Drosophila melanogaster: one gene and its partners. The gene in region 1 interacts genetically with each later gene. Each region holds a gene or a part of one and is shown on either strand. Other genes may lie near its edges.

What was found.
Region 2: of sr (region 1) and ptc, changing one suppresses a phenotype caused by changing the other (phenotypic suppression), as found in Drosophila melanogaster (one study listed by BioGRID).
Region 3: of sr (region 1) and ac, changing one enhances a phenotype caused by changing the other (phenotypic enhancement), as found in Drosophila melanogaster (one study listed by BioGRID).

The regions. Positions count from the first base shown.
Region 1 is NT_033777.3:18,089,286-18,093,854, forward strand, and holds the start of sr (stripe), read left to right. Parts: upstream 1-1,517; 5' UTR 1,518-2,169; intron 2,170-4,569.
Region 2 is NT_033778.4:8,647,962-8,652,676, forward strand, and holds the start of ptc (patched), read left to right. Parts: upstream 1-1,687; 5' UTR 1,688-2,460; coding exon 2,461-2,589; intron 2,590-2,735; exon of another isoform or gene 2,736-3,092; intron 3,093-3,289; exon of another isoform or gene 3,290-3,535; intron 3,536-4,715. UniProt on the Drosophila melanogaster protein: Segmentation polarity protein. Acts as a receptor for the hedgehog protein (hh). Associates with the smoothened protein (SMO) to transduce the hedgehog signal leading to the activation of wingless, decapentaplegic and patched itself.
Region 3 is NC_004354.4:368,175-371,475, forward strand, and holds ac (achaete), read left to right. Parts: upstream 1-1,856; 5' UTR 1,857-1,919; coding exon 1,920-2,525; 3' UTR 2,526-2,773; downstream 2,774-3,301. UniProt on the Drosophila melanogaster protein: AS-C proteins are involved in the determination of the neuronal precursors in the peripheral nervous system and the central nervous system.

The sequences.
Region 1 (4,569 bases):
TGTGTGTGTCTGTGTAAGGTGAGCTTGGTGGGCGTTTTTAACTCGGCTCTCCGTCTCTTTCTAGCCGCGTTTCGCTGTCTCTTTTCGAGTTTTCATTCACAATCTAATGCCGGGCTTGATCCACACCCACATTATTTAAAGTGGAGCAGTGCACAGAGGGGCTCTGTCCTTGTCTCTTTCTCTTCCAGTAGCTCCATCTCTTTCCGCTTCCTTTCTCCACCTGCACCCTTTCTATCGCTCTGTCTCTTTCTGCGAGCACAGCTGCAGTATTTTGCAATTCAATTTGCAGTCAGCTGAAAGAGCGAGAGGTAAAAGTATGAATTTATCAATGAAACCACCCACGTGACCCCTTTGTATATACACATGTGTGTGTGTGTGTATGTGTGTTTGGCGTTTTTTTTGTGTGTGGGTGTGCGTTTCTGTGGGTGCTGTTGCCTCTAAAGCTTTTTTCTAAGGGGGCCCAAGCTTTTTTCAGCCAATTAGCTTTCGTTGGTGTTATTTTTAGCTGACTAGCTTTCCAGCAAAAGCTTTCAGGATTGATAGACGAATTTGGATTTCGATTCCAGGAAAACCCTTAAAGTTTACTGCATCCGTAAAAATCCTGGCTAAAATATGTATGTACATATGTATGTCTGTTTGCACAAGTGCATTGAATGACGCAGATTCTACAAGTATCCCTATGAAAGGGTTTTGCACACGTGGAGGGGGTTTTGATTCTACTAAGAGGGTTGCGATCAAGAGTGTTGGCTAAATGTGTGGGCTTTTAGACCGAGGAAAGCCCACACAACCACTCGTAGAACTTGGCACGTTCCGGTGCACTGAAAACAATTTAAGATGACTTAAATGAAGATTATTGATAAATAAATAATTCCTATTTACAAAACACTTCTTCTAATGTCAATGAAAATATTACATATATTGGTTTACTAACAGCTGAAGAGGATTTAGAAATACCAATTATTTAGTTTAACTAAGATGAAGGCACGCAGGACATTTTTGACACTCACACTTCTTTTCAGTGTAGGAAAACGGCTTAAGAGTAATCCAAAGGTGTTACAGCCTTATGCTAGGCGATAGAAGCTCAGCGAGAGAGAAAAGCACTTTGAGGCGTTGCGGGGGTTGTGTGTGTGGTTTGTGGTGTTTGTTGTTTGTTGTTCGTTGTTCGTTGCCCCACCGGCAATCCCCCGGTCATGAGTGCGACGAGGACGGCTAGCTTAGCCCGTCCGCATGTACAGTTGTGCCCACACACGGCAGCAAGAACAACAACAACAACACTCAGACGAGGCATCTCAACTGGGCGACAGATCTCTAAGTAAGGCGATGATCAGCCCACGACTGCCACACACTCACACACTGCCATCGCAAACGGATACAGATACAAAGCCACGTACAGGTACAGATACAGTGAAACCGAGGCAAAACAGTCAAGGCAGCGCTGCAAAGCGAAGCAAACCGTATTTTTTAATACCGCCGACAGTCGGACGACGGATTGAATCGCAAAAAAAAAACGCATCGCAACCGGAAGGAAATTATCGTCTAATAAGTTGAGCACAATAAATTCGAGAATAAAAAAAAGAGCAGGGGATCTTATAGCCCCGATTTACGCGCCCTGTGCATGAGATCGTTAAGCGAATTAAGCCGAAAGATAGCCCGTAGCCCAATATCTCGACTAGCCCATCAAATTGCGTGTTTCAAATCAAAATTGCATAATCTGCACCGAAGAAGCCGGGAACTAGTTGCCAACTCTTCGCTAGCCAACGAGATCGCGATTACAGCCGGTGGATATCTTTCGCGTAATCGCAGTAGCTACGTCGCTTCCTTTGACTTGGCCACGTTCTATACAGCTGCGCATCTTATCTTATGCTTGGCCATCTGAAGTTTCAGAGTCGCAGTTGGCAGTAGTTGTTGCAGTTGCAATCGCGGTTGCGGTTTATAGTGAGTCGCGCGTGCGTTCGCCTTTTTGGCCCGCCTCGTAATTAATTACAAACGCAGTCGCGCGATCCGCAATCCGCGCGACTGTTGGACTACAGATGAAAATCCCAACGATCCTGCCTATTTACGCGCCCAAATCTTGATGCCCTAGCCAGACCAGCTTTCTGGGCGCTTGCGTGCTCTGTTGTCGCCGACTTGCCTCCGAATCGACGACATCTGATTGCCTTTTTATAGCTGGTAAGTAGTAGTAGTAGTAGACCCTGCCTATATTGCCCAGCCATCCACCATCGACATCTGAACAAGTATATTAATGGTTACAGCGGGAAAGGGGTGATTGTCGGTTTGGTTATGGCCTCTAATGGCCTTTAATTGGGGCGAAAGCCAAATATAAGGCTTTATTACATATATATGATGGGGAAAATTGAAGCGGGGCCGAATTTATTACGGTCATGTTACATTAGTTTTAATTTATTAATAAATTGTACGAATATTGCCCGAAAACATATATTCGTAAATCCAAATTATTTTATTGGATGATTTCTTAAAATAATTCAATAAAGGTAATTAACATAAAATATTTTGTGATTTTCATAAATTCCTATTTCACAAAACCATAAAGGTTTTTAGCCATTAGCTAAACCAGATTTGTTTTCTATTTAATTATTAAATATAAAAATTCATTCAATATTTGTAGTCTCATTGAAAAACCTTACATTTTTAATGATGAATGAGATGGAAAAGATTACACATCTTCGAAATTTCTGTACAAACCGAATCGAATGAGATCATTTTGCATAAAATTATTTACACATTCCTTAATATTTAGGAGCTGTTTTTGCCAAATACCATTTGCAGATAGACTCCATTTGCATTTCGAAAGAAACCTGGTTTTTTTATGAAGCCGTCGAATGTTCGAGAAGTCAATTGAATTTCGTGGTTTACCTCCATTCAATATGAATGGAAATAATAACTAAAATTAAAACTAATAAAAATATACAAAGATAAGGCTTAATATAATGATTTATGAAACTTTTACAACATATTGGTTGTTTTAAGTATACTTTTGTTGGCCTCTTGTTTATCTTTTTTAATGGAAAACTCAAAGAACAGCCTTGCAACAACTTCTTTTTGGCTCAAACACAAGCTATTTGACTGAATGACGAATTGCTGGTTATGGCCTAAAATATGAAGGACGTTAGTATGCGTAGCCCACGCGATACATATGTATTTGCACTCCTGCAGAGCGACACGTGCGTAAAACAAATCAATTAGCGCTGCCACATGAAAAGGTTAAAAGTCACGTACACGTGTTCCGTGTGCGAATGTGCGAGGGGCACAGCGCGGGGAATGCTGCTCATATGTATAAGGTCAACCGGCAATTGGTAGCCGCAAATTTTCTGCAACAAGTTGAAATTGCCTGGCTAATTAAACACGCAGGTGTAACGAATCCAGCCAAAGCTTCCGGCCAAATAATGCGGTTTAAATGGAGTCAGGAGCAGCTGACATTTGAAGCGACTCCCCCACAAAGGGGCAGAGAAACGGAAGGCAGGACCTTCTCCTGTGAATACCGAAATATCAAAGTTCAACCGGATAACAGGGCGAGCTTCTTTGGGTTCAGCTGCTCTATTCGCTTAGCGGAAAATCAGGAAAATTTATGAATGAACTTCTAGTTGAGCGGACACATCAACGGGAGCTTTTTTCATTGATAAGCTCAATTCAGTTTTTCGCTTTCCATTCCATTCATATATTTATCCGAATGTGACCGGCAACCTTTGGTCTGCCATCGATTGGCGGGCGGTGGGTTGGCCAAAGAGCAACAGGAGCCTCCAGCCGCAGGACATCCCACACACGTGGCAGACGTTTCGGGAAAAGGGCAAGGCACCAGCATCCTGTATCCATTCTCCCGAGACTCTTCTCGAGTGGAAAATGCTAGTAGCTTCTGGCTTCCTTCTGCACAGTGGTTCAAATCAGTCTTCAAATGTGTACAAAAGCTTTGGGTACCTATCAGCTATTAACTATTTCAAATCGTGTAATATAGTGTATATAATATAATAAATAGGGTTTATAGTGTAATTGTTTTAACTTTTCAATTTAGTAAATATTTATGACCACACTGCGTATGATTAATATAAAGCAATTGATTAATTTCTCACATTATAATATTTTGAATAATAGAAAGTATTCACAACTTTGCCTTACACATTAACATTTAGAGATTTTCTTTTTTCCCGAATACATTTATTCTAACAGTATTCATGGGCAGTATTAGCCCACTGTGCCGTATCTGCCATTTAGCTGTGCCCCTGCCCTTAACTTCATCCTCATCTTCTAGTCAATAATATCTGACAGTGTGGGCGTTTAATCGCATCTATTAGCATCCCAGTCGAGCATTTTCTTACACGCCCACGCTGGAAATTATTTCCACTAGGAAAAGTGAAGTAGAAGTGGAGCACATTTGGCGAAATGAAGGCAGGCAATCAACAGGTCCAGCTTGGATAACCTTATTGTTCTCGTTTTCCCAGCCAACGAAAATGTCCCTTCGGTTTTTCCACCTTCCAGGAAGCGCTGTCCCCTCGTTATTATTATTATTAATATTATTATTTTTATTATTGCTCATTTGTTTCAGCGCTAGAGTAA
Region 2 (4,715 bases), on another chromosome or scaffold:
AGAGTTGTTGTTTTTTGATTGTAATAGCTCGCTTGGTGGTGGGTCCACATTCACATCTCCCTCTCCCACTCTTTCTCCCCGAAAGAGAGAGCGGGAGCGAAGGGGCACGAGGGGAGCACGATGACTATGCAGTTGCATTCAATTTGAATTTCCATGGTGCTGATGATTCGAGCGCCAATTTTTTCGAAGAGTTCTTATTTGTTTACTTCGTTGTTGTTGCCTCAATTGGAAAGGGAAAATGTGGAATGCGGAGAAACACCAGAAGCAAATGCATTTCCATTCATAAATCCAAAGAAGTTTTAAAGATAACATGTCATTTGGCTTAAGTTCGTGGTGCACAAAAAAGATCGGTTTGCGGTTGTCGCATGAAAATGAGTTTATTCCATTGGTATATTATTATTCAGAAATTAAAAAAAAACTTGTTTAGTCTATTTTTTTTTTTTAAATAAAAAAAAAAAATTCTTTTATAAGTCGATTTTAGAGTAAATATTTAAAGACTACGTCTAATAAACATATAATTTGTTCTGTGTTTTAATTTGCCGGCAAAAACAAACCTACTTGTGTGGTCCTCGCACACTCATAACCCCTCGCATATTTGAGATTCATGGGGCAAAGAGGCTGCAAAAACAATGGAAAGGGAAAAGCAGAAACATCCTGCCGCTCATAATTTAGCATCGGAACATGCAAAAACAGACATCATCGCATGGGGCAGCAGCAACAGCCATAAAACCAACAACACGAGCAATGTAAAGCTAACAAATTTGCCAACAGTTCGCGGCACGGCTACACACACACACATGCATGCGCAGCCTGCCACGCACGCGCTTCCCCCAAACAAATACACACACACACACTGAGACGAAAGCTCCATTGGGCAGCGCTGCCGACGCTGAAGGCCGACATCGGCAGAGCTGAACGTTTGGGTAGGGGACCACCCACATCGCTTGGCGGTTTCAGTTTAATGAAGGCAGAAACAAATTTATTTTTGGGTGGTCCACACTGCAGCGAAAATAAACTACAGTGGCAACAACAAACCAGCAGCCAAGGCACTTTGGGTGGTCCATGCAAAAAAAAAACAAATTACGGCATGCGAATAACAATAGAAATTAGCGCTCTCGTGGCGGAGCTATTTGGGTATATTAGAGCTACATATTTTATTTGTTTATAAAAAGTATAAATGTAAACAATGAGTTCCAAGCATTAAGTCCGTATGCTCAACAATTACATTATCATTATTATTATCACTTAAATATTTACAAAGGATATTTAAACAGTAATAGATATATATTTTATTTCTTAATTTCTGTTAACATATGTATTTACATTGGTAGTTATTCTTTATTTTGCAACAAGCATTCATAAATTTTATATAACAAACTTGGTATTTTCTCGGAAAAACTCCTGAATCACCCCTCGGTATTTTGTGCGTTGAGCTATCGTTAAAGCAGCCCTCGCAGAGAGCGTTCTCAAACCAAAATGGCCGCACACGAAACAAGAGAGCGAGTGAGAGTAGGGAGAGCGTCTGTGTTGTGTGTTGAGTGTCGCCCACGCACACAGGCGCAAAACAGTGCACACAGACGCCCGCTGGGCAAGAGAGAGTGAGAGAGAGAAACAGCGGCGCGCGCTCGCCTAATGAAGTTGTTGGCCTGGCTGGCGTGCCGCATCCACGAGATACAGATACATCTCTCAGACTGCGTGCGATCCTCGAACGAAACGGTTGTAAGTGCGGAGCGCGACGACTTGTTATTCGTATTTCCGACTACTGGCACTCTCTGTGTGTGGTATACTAACAAGATAGATATCACAGAACTCGTGGAAAAGCTAAGATATTGTACCTCACGGATGCGAGGCGAAGTTCATGGATTAAATGCCAGGCAACAACAAAAGCCAGCCAACCAGCCAGTGTTTGTGTGTGTGCGTCGCCAAGTGCAAAGTAAAGTAAAGGTAAAAGAGCGAAAGGCGAGAGAGAAAACCGAATACGTGAGTCGTCCGACTGCCGCTTTTCCATGTGTAAAAGATCTGTGAAAATTCTGTCAAATTCCCCTGAGAAATTGTGCCCAAGATAAAACCCGAAAACCGCGTTTTAATCGTCGAAAAAACCCAGCAAAAGCGAAGCCAGCAATCACAACAAAACAACACAACGAGAGCTCAGATACACAGCGTGCTCAGTGAGTGAGCGAGAGAGCGCGGGAGAGAGCGTCTCTTGATTTAAAATACAAAATAATTAAAAATAAAAATGCGGAATGCAGTGCAAAATGCAGCCAAACAAAATACGAGATTCCAATAACAATTAATCGAACCGAAAGTCCACGAACAATCCGCACACTGTCTCCCAAGTCTCAGTTCTCAGGACGCAGACGAACGGCAGGCACTGTAGAAAGACCGATTCCGCAGCACACTCCCATCTGCACATCTCCGCCACGCGATTCCGTCCGGAATCTGGCTATAAACATAACCATAATGGACCGCGACAGCCTCCCACGCGTTCCGGACACACACGGCGATGTGGTCGATGAGAAATTATTCTCGGATCTTTACATACGCACCAGCTGGGTGGACGCCCAAGTGGCGCTCGATCAGATAGATAAGGTGAGTGCCCAACTACAGTGAACTTTCACTGTGAAGGATAGCCATGTGTTGAATTCAATAATATTCTTGAATCGTATTCGGAGGATCCTTTATAAGTTTAAATGGAAAATCTGGCTCTTTCGAAACTTTTGTTAGTAATCCCTTTTACTTTAAATTAAGCAAAAGATTTGAAGTATTAAGTAAATTTACAATCTTTTTAAAATTTGAAATTGTTATATTGTACAATTCTTGTCATTAGAATATTGAGACACTTAACTAAAAACCATGATGTAGAAGTTCGACTGTAAATCCGAAGAGCAGCGGCTTTTGTTTAATGCGGCCATTAAGTCGCCGGGACAGATTTCAATAAATTTTATTGCCAATATCTCTCGCAATATTTTTCGCGTTTTTTTCGTCGCCGATGTCTTCTTCGCCGGTCGTTTCGATTTCATTTCATTCGTTTCGTTTTCTTTCGTTCGATTCCCTGGTTAATATAGTTGTCTGATGTTCGCTTGCCAGGCAGCCTATTAATTACAGTGATTAGTTGAAATCCACGCCAATCGGCTTATATGCTAATTTTGCTATTTCGTTCTCTGGACATAAAAAGCGTGGAGGATTTACCTCCAAATATAGACATTTGTTTATGAAACTATTCGCCGTAAAAGTAGACGGAATAACCCTTTCGCTGCAGTCTAAAACTACAACAAATTGGATGTTTTACCAATCTTGTTAGTATTTATTCTCTGTGCACCGCCATCAATCCACATCTATTTTCGCTGCGCAGACGTAGACACACAGCAGGACTTTCGTACTCGTTTCGCCGATCCCAAACCGACCGATCCAACTCCAGACGGACATATCCACAGACAACTTCATTACTTTGGCGCTACTGTGCGCGGCTGGTCCGAAACCGCAAACCGAACAATAACAACTGCAACTGCAACTGCGGCGAGCGCCAAAAACAGCTAGGCAAAAACTGGGCAGCAGCAGCAGCAGGAGTTCCGTCCAGCAGTCGAAAGCAGCCGAAAAGGCAAAAAGCAGAAAGCTTTGGCAGCCGCAGCAAAAATAATAAACAACGCCAGCAACAACTTGCCCAGCATTCTGCTGGTGTGGGTTCGTATCTGTGTGTGTGGTTGTGTGTTGCCTTCCAACATGGGTGGGCGCCGAGGTCTCCGCGAGAGTCATTTCGTACGTGATGCTGCTGGCTGGACTGCCATTGGCCACCCCCTTCCAGCCGCTCTTTTCGGAGCCGCCCCACCCCTCCATCGCCCCAATGCCCCACCGCCCCAGTCAACGCTCCTCAGATGCTCTGTGATACGAGTTGTGGGGCGACTTCGGTTGGGAATTCTTCGCAGATTGATTAGAAGCATGCGTGACGTAATGAGTAATCTATATAATTTCGAAACAATTTGCTTTTTGGCTCTGCACTATGAGATTGATTAGCAAGCGTTTAGTCTAATTAAATGTCAATAAATGAAGGGCGCACATATTTTCATTACTATTTATATAGATTTTTTTTTATTGATCTTGAAGGTATAGTTCAGAAGGTAATATTTCCAATATAGTTGTGAACTCTAAAAAGAGCAGCATGCAGTCTTATATCCATTTTCGTTGCCAAAAGCATTTCAGTTTGCTGCTGTTATTCCCACCCATGCAAATGAAGCAGCCAGTGATCGTTTTTCGGGTTGGGATCGGGCCATTGAATGCGGGTGGCCCAAAAAGCGGAAAAAAAGAAAAGAGCCAAGGAAAAAATTTTACTGACGCACGCGCTTTGTTGTTGCTGACTCTGCTCGCGCAGTGACTTCCAAACTGTGCTACACTGAAAAAGAAACAACCGTTTACAAATAATAACGCTTACATGGCAAAAGTAAGAATTGATTTCCAGACAGAATTGATTTCCTAGTTAAACTTGCGAACTTTACGATAGTTTATCCTTAGGGTTAGTAACATATTTCAAAGATGGAAGTGCAGTAAACATTTTGAGGAAAACTCAGTTTTTCTGTGTGGACCGCCTCAAGTTTTCTCGCTGCTTCGCTGATGCTTTTTACAGCTTGATGTCTTCATCATTGTTGCAGTTGCAGTTCCTTGGCGACCGCGTGGCGTGTCTTGCTCTGTTGTTGTTCCCCCTCATTCCCCCGCCCCATCTC
Region 3 (3,301 bases), on another chromosome or scaffold:
CGTTAAAACGCTCACCTTAGATGTGACATCGTTTCGTTGACATATTCGCGTTGCTCTCATAAATCAGATATTTATATGGAGTGGGAAGTTGGGGGACTCAAAACCAAAACCATGGGCGGCTTTCGTCCTTTCATCGTCCGGAGATCGGTAATCTCTGGATGGCAATTTGATGGCCATGAACAGTTGACAGTTGACTTTTTATTTATTCAGCAGCAACATTTAATTCAATGGCACCTAGGCGTAGGCTCTACAGTTCTAAGCTCCCAATTTTGAAGACCCTAATAAACATGAGTACATACTTTGTACATACTTTTCATTTATCGGCTAGAATACCTGTACGATCAACATTGGTACTGAAATGTACGGAAGCTGTCCTGTAATCGAGGCCTTACTGTGTCGCAAGCATGCCGCTTTAAGAAGTGTGGAATAAATGAAACAACGTCAAGTAATCGGCAGACCGAGTCAATATTAATGACGACTTCATCTTTATTCGGTTGATACGCCATATATTCAGATCTCAGTTCTTCCCCCCTTAAGTTTATCCCGTCACGATTTTTCGGTTTTCTGTCGCAGGGTCTTAGTAACATTTATTGTACTATTTAGTCGTTATCAAGCAGAAAAGCTCAAGAAGAGCACTTGTGGCGCTAAGCGATATTCAAAGCAAAAAATAATAATAAAATTGCAAATTCATAAACCTGGTTGACACTGAATACCTTGTCTCAATGCTTCGCGGCAAATTTATATTACATCAACACGGATTTTGCAAGGTCGACCGGATATGTTTGATTTTATTAGCCTCTGGACATCTGGTATGTCTGTGCTTAGATGCCCTGTGATGTCCTTTTCACATGTAATGCTATGCAATCCCCCGGGGCTACAGCAACGAAGTGTTAAACGAGGCTCAGTGTGAGTTAGTGCCAATACAAATCTATTTCGGCACGGTTTCCTAGCGTGCAACCAGAATTCTGACAATGGTTTTAAGAAATAATGGGGACCTCCTAAATGCTTTCAAAATGCTTTCGGCTGAGAGGAACAACAACTGATACGTTGGGCATAAAGGCCCCGGGGCATTAGAAGTGTTAATAGAAAAGTGCCTCCGGCTGATCAGGTTTCGTTGCAGGACCGAATGGATCGCCGCCTGAGGTGTTGATGAGCTGGCCTTGAAAATTCCTACGACTTTGGATTCGAGCGACAATGGTCTAGTGTTTAAGATAATGTCCGAATGATCCAGGGATCGGAAGGTCATCAGTACATAAAATAAATTAAATTAAATGTATTAACATAAAATTAAAGATTTTTTAAAAGTCTAAAATACCTAGCCTTGTTAATTAAAGATTATTTTTTCGTAAACACTTTTGGTAGTGTATAAATTGTAAATGTCCCCATTTTTATAATTGTAATGACAGTCTATTCCACTAATTTTGTTGTATTTTGTTAGTTATACAAATTGGATGGCCACTTTCAATAGGAGATACAGCTTTTTACTTCGGAGGTGTTTTTACTTGGCTCTGATGTCTGGACCTTGTTGCCTTTTTAAACCGGTTGGCAGCCGGCACGCGACAGGGCCAGGTTTTCGTTTGGGGACGACAGGCAGCTGAAAATGAGCAAAAACACTCAGAAACTCTTCCCACTCGACAACGGGAACACTCAGGTCACCAACAGCTGCGTTTTACAGAGAGAACGAGAGATAATATTACTACCTCTCTATTAAAATCAGAGAAAACACTCATCTCAAGAGACGATCCTTCAGTGATGATGCTGTTGCACCTTTTCCAGGGGCAGGTAGGTAGTCACGCAGGTGGGATCCCTAGGCCCTGATACCTATAAATAGCCTGAACGGAACGGGGAAGGGCATCAGAACAGAGCCAGCGCTGAAGCAAGGAGCATCGTCACACAATAACGTTATACTATCTCTTAAAATGGCTTTGGGCAGCGAAAATCACTCTGTTTTCAACGACGACGAGGAGTCATCTTCGGCCTTTAATGGACCCTCTGTTATCCGGAGAAATGCCCGGGAACGCAACCGCGTAAAGCAGGTCAACAATGGCTTCAGCCAACTACGACAACATATCCCTGCGGCCGTAATAGCCGATTTAAGCAATGGTCGCCGGGGAATTGGTCCCGGCGCCAATAAAAAACTGAGCAAAGTTAGCACACTGAAAATGGCAGTAGAGTACATACGGCGCTTGCAGAAAGTTCTTCATGAAAACGACCAGCAGAAACAGAAACAGTTGCATTTGCAGCAGCAACATTTGCACTTTCAGCAGCAGCAACAGCATCAACACTTATACGCCTGGCACCAAGAGTTGCAGTTGCAATCTCCAACTGGCAGCACAAGTTCCTGCAACAGCATTAGCTCTTATTGCAAGCCAGCAACATCGACGATTCCGGGAGCAACACCTCCTAACAATTTTCATACCAAGTTGGAAGCCAGTTTTGAAGACTACCGTAACAATTCCTGCAGTTCTGGTACTGAAGATGAGGACATCCTCGACTATATATCACTCTGGCAGGACGACCTGTAAAAAAACAGATCAAATCTTCAGCTATTGCTAGTCGCACCCAACCATAACACACATCAAACCATTGATTGGCCAACAAGTATTACCTCAGCCACAAAGTATTTATATTCCCTAGAACTACCTTTTTGCCTTATAAATTAGTATTTAAGGTTTTATATAGTTTCTAAGGATAGTTTCTAATGGAAGACAATTTATATTTAAGTTTTTTTTTATAGCATACATTGAGGACATTAAACTGATATATATAAAATTTTAAATGAGTTTTTATTGTAAACAAAATTAAACGGTAATTAAAGTGAAACAAATTTATGTACAAAAGGAGTAAAATTCAGAAAAGTTTTAATGAACAAATGCTTTATGAATATGGGCGTAGCAATGTTTTGATACAAACTTGATCCTGTCCTGTATACCACAGGACACGCTTCCTTTTACCTGGTACATTCCTTTAAACGATCCTAGTATACGCTTTATTCGGGGTAAGCCCGAAAAAAGTATTCGAAACTGTAACCGTTAAGTATTTACAGATCACTAGCCAATGAAGATAAATTACAATAACATTTTGTAAACACTTTTGATCGAAAACGCCGATTTGCATAAATAAAGTTGGATTGAGTAGGGTGAAAAAGGCAAAATATTTACCTGCTGCATTTTTGCATATGAACCGGTCAAGGTAATAAGATCCTGAGAATTCACAATTCCGGAGAGATCGATCGATCGATCGATGAATGAACTAATTTTGAGTTATTCCCGCAATGCAGCCGAAACAAGCGAAAAAACAA